Linked DNA regions of Drosophila melanogaster. The protein of the gene in region 2 interacts with the protein of the main gene of each other region in a pairwise test. Each region holds a gene or a part of one and is shown on either strand. Other genes may lie near its edges. The genes, in order: mus304 and Or56a.

Region 1 (3,922 bases), on a different chromosome or scaffold from region 2:
GCAACTGAAAGTAGTCCTGCCGCAGAGGAGTTTCACTAAAGAAGCATAGCTCGAGTAGGCCCGCGTAGACCTGAAGTAAACAGGAGTCGGGACCAAATCGATAAACGGAGCGAACGCGATCCGATACAAAGCAGTCCTTGGGACTATTCACACACATTTTATCCATAAGTTGGGGATGTCTAAGGCAGCTTAAAAAGCAGGAGCTAAGCTCAGCAAAAACCCAAGGACTGGGACGAGTAAAAACTAACTGCTTAAGCAGATCGAAGAGTAGCTCCTCGTTATGTTGAAGAAGGGCATTTTCTTGTAGGAGGCTATTTAGGAGTGAAGTCAAGGCTTCCAGCAATCCAAAGTGTTGGCCGACCTCGTAGGAAAATCCTAGTTTTGTGATAGCTTCAATAGCCATATCTAGCAGTCCCAGATCATTTTCTTTCCACTCCGTGAGACCTCTAGAAATCCTTTCCTCTCGCCGGCAAATCAAAGCCAAGGTAGCTATGAAGCGACGCAGCGGAACAGCCTTTTCGTTATCATACAAACAGCTCTGATGGGTCAGGGAAATGCGATGAACTTCCTCCTCTAGGTTGTGGGGATTGTAGGGATACAGCATGCAGTTGTGTGGAAAGTCCAAACTTTGAGCATACGAAGCAAACTCCGTGAATACCTTGCCGACCGACGAGAGTATTCTTGGCAGGAGGTTATCCACAGATTCCGGCTTTGCCTGCAGCCGAGCGTAATGAAGTAGCAGTTGCTTTAATTCCAGTTCAAAATGATTTCTTCGTTTCTTAGTCTGATCCTCATTTTCGCTGTATTCGAACACACTGCCATTATCGGTTTTCAGCCCGGGCACAGATCTGTGTATGTTAAGCCTATTCAAGCGAAGTGATAAGCGTTTCTCCAAAGGATCTGGAGCAGCCTGTAAAATGCTCATGCTGGAATTCATGCTTCTTTCATGGGCTTTTTGCTGTGTCTTCAACTTTGAGAACTCGGCGTTCTTAATCTTCAACTCGATGTCCTTGGCCGCAATTTGTTTGGCCGCTTCTGCCACTTTTTTGTTGCAATCCCGATTCGTTTCGTCGGCCAAAGCCAGCTTTTCCATTTTGCTAGCCTGCAGCTGCTGGCGCAAGTGCTTCAGCTCATCACGAAGTAAGGAAACCTAGAGAAATAAATATAAATGGATTAGTTTCTGTAAGGTCTAGAATCGGTGTTATAGTTCCACCCCGATGTCCACCTACCTCACCAGACTTGATCTCATTGCGTTCCTTACTGTCGCCCAAATTCTTTTCCAGCTGCGCGTTTTCCCGCTTAAGGGCTTCAATCCTATCCATGAGAAACTTTAGCTGATGCTCCTGCTGGCGGGATTGCGTGGCATTGATGGTCGTCGTGGTCGTGGTTTTCTGCTGAACACTTATGCTGCTGGTAGTTATCCTACTTGTGCTGGTCTTCGGCTCCGGCATCTTTTGTGGCTCACTGTCCATGAGGGTAACGGCCAGAAAATCGAAATCATCATCATCCGCGAAAATCGCATCCATATCCAGGGAAGTAGGCTTCTTTTGTGGCGGCGGTGGCGGCGGAAACATTTGCTGTGTGCTGGTTGAGCCCTGAAAAGTGGGTGCAAATTCGCTGAAGGTGACCTCGCTGTTGCCGATGTCCACCTCTGTTCCGCCCTTCTTTTTCCGCTCCTCCGCCTCGATTTCCGCCTCCGCCAGCTGGGTGGCCATCAGGATGACATCGTCATCGTCGTCCCAGAGAATCCCATCGAAATTGTTCCTCGGTGGACTGGGTCGCGCTGATCCGCGGGTAACGCTAACATCCAGGCGCGGTTTCTTGCACCGCGCGAAGTCTTTCATGGCAGAAAAGCGCTTGGCCATGGTTCCTCCAGTTTCCGCTATATTTCGTTACTTTTTGGCCATGGAAAGTCGTAGATTATTTTGCCGGTTTGCTTTGTTTATAAAATGTAGAGCTCAACTAGCGTTGCCAGATGGATTTGATCGCAACGATGGATTTGCCCAACCAAAATAGAGATTATGTTTCGAATCCATGTTGCATAGAAAAATACTACATTAGGATTTACTGCAACAAAAAGCCAGTTTTGTAATATCGCTCTTTGTTATTATGCTGGTTTTTTTTAAGCGCCGATAGAAACCCGCTACAATCACAGTTTCAAAATCCGATTAATATTGAGCAAAACCAAAGTCATCTGGCTACACTCAAGTCTATCGACTGCGGTGTATCGGCATGTGGTGTATCGACTCAGCTTTCCCATTAACCTCAAAGGAAAATCAAAGAATTCTGCGGAAATTCTAGCCCAAAACTAAAGGACTTACGGGGAAACCAGAACCCAGCGACTTCGGTCGAATTTTCGAGGTGACGGGCGGCGCGAATGGAACGCCATGCCAGCGAAGAGGATGACGGTCACCACAGCAGCAGCTTCGACCATCAGTGGAGCCAGTGGGTCCACCACGAATAATGGTCAGTCTGGTGGCGGTGCACGCCCACTGGAGACGCTAAACGGAATGACCAGGCTGACCCCCGCCCGCGACTTGACCCTTGGTGGGCGCGGCGCTGGGACAGCCAGCAAAAAGGTCTTTGCTCCCAATTTGAATGCTGTGCGCAATAAAAATGCGTGAGTTGTGGAATGGCCCAGGGGGAGTCATTCTTTTCATCATCTCATTTGATTCACAGCAATGTCAAGACATCCAAGGACACCACGCAGCCAAGGAGCGGCCGCAGAGGTGGACGTGGCAACGGCACTGGAGCAACACGTGGTCGAGGTGGAAATTCCGCTGGCGGGGGCAACTCCACGCTCATCCAAACCCAGGGACTCTTCTCCGAAGGAGCAGGCGATGTTCATGTGCGAAGGTCCACAGGAAATGGAACGGCATATGCACGGGGCGGTGAGGAGGTGTCCGTGACCAGGAAACGGGTGGATCGCAAGGACGACAAGAGCCAGGCCGAGCGGATCAAGGAGCTCTTGGGCGAGTCGGACGCCAGTGGCGGCGAGCTCAGCGAAGAGGAGGCTAACAAGACTGAGATGGCACTCAGGCCCATCCTGCTAAAAGAGGGTACGTTTTACAAGCACTTTTTGATGCACACGGGCAGAAGAAATTCATGCTTTATTTGTTTATAAACGTTAGGACTCTGGGTCACCCAGAAGACACCGATTGCGAAGCAAGAAATCGCCAGTTCAACCTCAACACTTAAGGGTAAGGCGCTAAGCTTTAAAAATGGCATAATCTAATTTGATTTCGCTCCTAGACACTTTGGCAGTGGCCCAGCATTTGCAACAGCTGCATGTGGCTGCCCAGGCAGCCAGTTTAGAGGAACCTCCGCTGCAGTACGGTCGCTACCCACGCACCATTGGTAACTTTCTGGACTCCAGCGAAGCGCAGATCTTTCTCATGCAACTGCCAGATGTGTTGCCATGTGTGGGCGACGATTCCGAAGATCCGGAACCGTCTAAAGGAGATCATCAGGCCACCAGTGAATCGGAACCAGCAAGTCCTGCAGACAAATGCTCAAACGGACCCAAGGGCAGTGTACTACGGCAGCTGGAAGAAGGGCAGATCGGCAAGATTCTGAGGTACAAATCCGGTCGCGTTAAACTCCAATTGGGGGACACACGCTTTGACTTGGATATGGGTCTCGATCCGGGTTTTCTGCAGGAACTCATGTCTGTAACCGCCAATCGCGAGCAACGTAGTGGAAACATGATCAACTTGGGACCCATTCAAGCCAAACTAAAGGCCACTCCAGATTGGGTGCACCTTTTCCAGCAGCAGGATGCGGCATCCAAGCGAACGAATCCAGTACCGGGCACGTAGCACCCACTTCCCCATGGTAGATATGTAATATAGTAAATAGGCTGCGCCTAAGCTTAAGTTATTCCTATTCTAAATGCCGTATATAAAAGTTAAATATAGAAATT
Region 2 (3,922 bases):
GAATTGCATGGCTTGTTTACTGTCATGTTAGCCAAACGAGTTGACAGGCGCAACGGCATTTGATTAGCCCTGAAGAAAAGGCTTTCCCTCTAATACAAGTGGGAGCTACGCAGCAAATTGAAGTAGCTGTAGGCTCCACGGCCAATCTGGAAAGGAAAGGCTTGAATTCGATAAATCCAATATCGAGTTAGCAGTTAGCAGCCTTACGTCTATGAAGGTCCTCAGATTCAAATCGACCAGCAGGGCGCGCATCTTCATCGGCCTTTGGGCATGCATCATCATAAAAACCAGCATTTTCTGCAAAGGCATTTCGAAGTTGTACCATCCGCAAGAAAAGTAAGCAAGGCTCAGTTCATCGTGCTGAAAAAAGGACATTTTGGGAGGCTACTAAAAGGAAGTAAACAAAAATCATGCGGAGATATTGTCTGATTGCTATGGACTTTTTTCTCCGAATTGATAGAGCTTCATCCGACATATGAATGAAAAAAATGAGAGAATAAATTAACTTTTTTAGGCGGATCTTTTGAAAATTTGTCAAAAATATATCATGCTATTCTTGTTATTATACTCACACATTCAACAATCAACGTGGCATGCCAATGATAAATCCACAATATACCAGCCATCACAAAAAGGTAAATGAACATGAAGAAGTAATCCATTTTGCTTGGAACCTAATGGGCCACATTAAATATTAGTTTGAAAACTATAAAACTATAAATATTGAAACTTACGCCAACTGTCAAGGCAAAAAAGAGAAAGCAAATGAGAACCGAGAAGATAATGAAATCTGCCATCACAGGCACGCAAATCAGATACTGTAGTTCCTGGACAAATTTTCGAATCCTCAGCTGTTCCTTTACAAATTCCTTGAAGAGTTGCATTTGCCAGAAGGTTAACTCACTGGCAGTTAGGCGACCAATTACCAATTTGGAATTAAGTCGGGTAATCTGCTCAAACGAGAATATTTATATATTTTATTTTTGAGTATACAAATTTAGAAATGATTATTACATCCATCTCCTCCACTCGCTTGTTGAGTATTTGCAGCTTGAGATTTACGTACTTCATGAGGCAAGTGATAAAGGTGTGCCACAATGGGATAGCCGTGATTCCCAGGCCCAGAGCATACCAAGGTCCCAAGTATCCAACAACGAAGTTATCGCAAAGTTCTCCGAAGGGAAACAGCTGAAATAGCAGAATGGGATGCTCCTCACCACGTCGCACAGCTGGCACATTGAAAACCGATTTCGGCAGAAACAGACTCCTGTAGATGCAGTCTGAATAGGCCATTAGGCCAGCAATAACCGATGGTATCCAGATCAACAGGGTAATGGTTCGTGTATAAGCCTGAGTGGCGACCAAAAGTTCCATCTCCCGATTATCTGCTTCGTGCATCAAGTTCTGGATATCCGAGTGGGCAACTCGCAAAAGGGATATTACTTCTAAAACAATGTGTAAGTATAAAAGAACATATCCTAGGCTTAATATTACCGCCTTATTATGTGATTTCCTTGTTGTTTTTATCAATAAACAAATTAAATTTATAATTTAAACTTACTATCTCTTTGTACGTAAGCATTAAACATGGCAATCGATACCGCGAAATACTGGACTGCGGTGGCGTAACTTGTGGCCCCATCATTGAGGTTTTCGTAACCACGAAACACTCTCGCCAGCATTAAAGCACAGCTAAGCCAAATCGATGCCGTCAAAATGGTGCACCGTATAAGACTTAACAAAGGCCTATTCTGATCCTTGGAGGCCACATATCCGTACCATTGGAAGTATCGCAGGTGGGTTCCAAAAATTGGATCCTCGAAAGTTGTCGGCGAAAGCAACAGATCCTTAACTTTAAACATGTTAAACTGTTTAGCGTTAACCATATTCAAGGGTCTTTTATAGGATTTCACAGCCACTTTTTTTGAGGTGCTAAGTGGTTTGATTAGCAAGGGGCCCCGTTAAGTGCCAATAATTGTCCAATAATTGTCTCTGTTTACCTGTTTACCGACAGGTGCTGCAGTTCTGCATAGACGATTTGGTAATGTGCTAGGTGTAAGCCCTCCAGCCAGATGGCCTTCAATTATTTGTGGCGAAGTTTAAATTCGATTTGCATGTTACACTGTGCGACGCCCAAAACTTTGTCCACATTCAGGGGCAGCAATGTCAAATGTGTTTAGGCAGCGTTGCATGCGAGTGAGTGAAATTTGCTAGTGAAATTAAACTTTTTCCCAACTTGTTCTGGCTACTTTTCGAGAGTGTCCCTTTTCCAGCGGCCGGGGCCAGAGTGTAATCAGGTAATGGAAAACGAATAAATAAGATGTGAGTAGTAGTGCTTCAGGCTTTAATAAAATTAATTTTTGATCTCTGCTCGTTGGGTCGAATTGCAGGTGCACAAACCAAATGGGGGCCAGAGTCAATCAAGTGGTCAGATTGCGTAGCCAACTATCGACCATCGAACCAACTAACCTCACATGGGACCAAAGGTCCTTTCGGCAAATGGCATTCAAGGAAGATGGAATGCGAGGACCGAGAAAACTGAGAATCCGAGAGCCCGAGGCGGGAACTCAGAGTCGGCAAACGAGAATCTCGAATCGTTTTTGCATGTGACAATCATATGCAGGAGCTGAGTAATTCGCCAATATATACATGGGGCATCAACGGATATTGTATCTGTGGAGCGAAGCATGTGCGGCACGAGTGTGTCGTCTATTTCACAATTTGCATTTAATATCCTTGTGTGAATAATTTACAAATGCAATAAACGTAAATGCGTTGGAGGAAACGCACTCAGACATGGCTGGGTGCGAACCGATCCCAGTCCATCTCCGGAATTCGAGCCCGAATCCAGCATGGAAATGCTCCACAAGCTCTGAGCTTCGGGAAAATGGGATGTGTGCTATTGTGGGGGAAAACTCAATGCACGCATATTTGTATGTTGCATGCTTGCAACTGTCTCTCTGATGTTTGTGTTTGCAAATGTGTAAATGCATTCGCAGCTCGGTCGTATTTGTCTGTCTGCTGGCGTGAAATTTGCTGTAAGCAATAAGCCTGTGAGGATATTGAAAGTCACTCGTTTCTGGTATTTACTTATGCGTTTGTTTCATGCTCTGCTGCAAAATGGAATGGGAAATCGGAAGGATTCGGTGGAGTATCTATCTGTATTGGCCTGACTTGACTCGGTTTGGCTTGGCGCTTTTCACGCCACATTTGCCGGGGCAGAGTAATCGGATATTAGCCCGCCTTGCTTATTGTTATGGCATATTTATTGGTAGTCGGAATTGCACACGATGCTGCGTTCAGTTTTGTGGTTAACTTGCAGCTTTAACAGCCCCATAACTAAGGGCTTTTCCCATCGAGAGCTCGTGTGGTCTGACTCCATTCCTTTTGACATCTTTGCGTGTTCTGTGGCTGCGATATCGGAATGGAAATTTCATATATACAACGATTGCGGTTCATTTGCAAGGATACAAGTTTAGCAATTGTCATTTAAGCTTGCCACTCAACTAGAGTATCGTAAAATTATTATTTTCCCAACATACCATCTAAAGCATCTCTAAAATAACATCTCGTTATGGCATTATAATCCATCAACTAAGTCAACTTCGATGAAATCTTTTGCGGAGAATTTTGAAACTATGCAACTTTGTTGGCCATGAATTATAGCCACATTTAACCTTAAATAAAGTCTTTTAAAAGTCCATAGACTTTAAGAGTGGGAGGACTTTACTTGGGCTTTTGGCGCCAACCAGCCACTAAATTGTTTACACGCAATTTCATCAAAACAATAAATCATGCAGTTGAATCGGCACAACAAAGGCGGCGACAACGACGACGTCCGCTTTCCCGCTTTTCCGCTTTCCCTTCACAGACGAACGACGTGACGTCAAGTTGACATTTGGTGAAAATCAAATCAAAAGCA

What was found.
Region 1: the proteins of Or56a (region 2) and mus304 interact in a two-hybrid assay, tested with the Drosophila melanogaster proteins (one large-scale study listed by BioGRID).

The regions. Positions count from the first base shown.
Region 1 is NT_037436.4:18,107,858-18,111,779, reverse strand, and holds the start of mus304 (mutagen-sensitive 304), read right to left. Parts: upstream 1,967-3,922; 5' UTR 1,866-1,966; coding exon 1,230-1,865; intron 1,151-1,229; coding exon 1-1,150. Other genes in the region: Polr3D (RNA polymerase III subunit D), read left to right, coding at 2,388-2,620, 2,680-3,059, 3,132-3,200, 3,253-3,818. UniProt on the Drosophila melanogaster protein: DNA damage checkpoint protein required for chromosome break repair and for genomic stability during development.
Region 2 is NT_033778.4:19,769,372-19,773,293, forward strand, and holds Or56a (odorant receptor 56a), read right to left. Parts: upstream 1,863-3,922; coding exon 1,562-1,862; intron 1,446-1,561; coding exon 1,015-1,445; intron 951-1,014; coding exon 735-950; intron 675-734; coding exon 573-674; intron 361-572; coding exon 208-360; intron 147-207; coding exon 90-146; downstream 1-89. UniProt on the Drosophila melanogaster protein: Odorant receptor which mediates acceptance or avoidance behavior, depending on its substrates. The odorant receptor repertoire encodes a large collection of odor stimuli that vary widely in identity, intensity, and duration.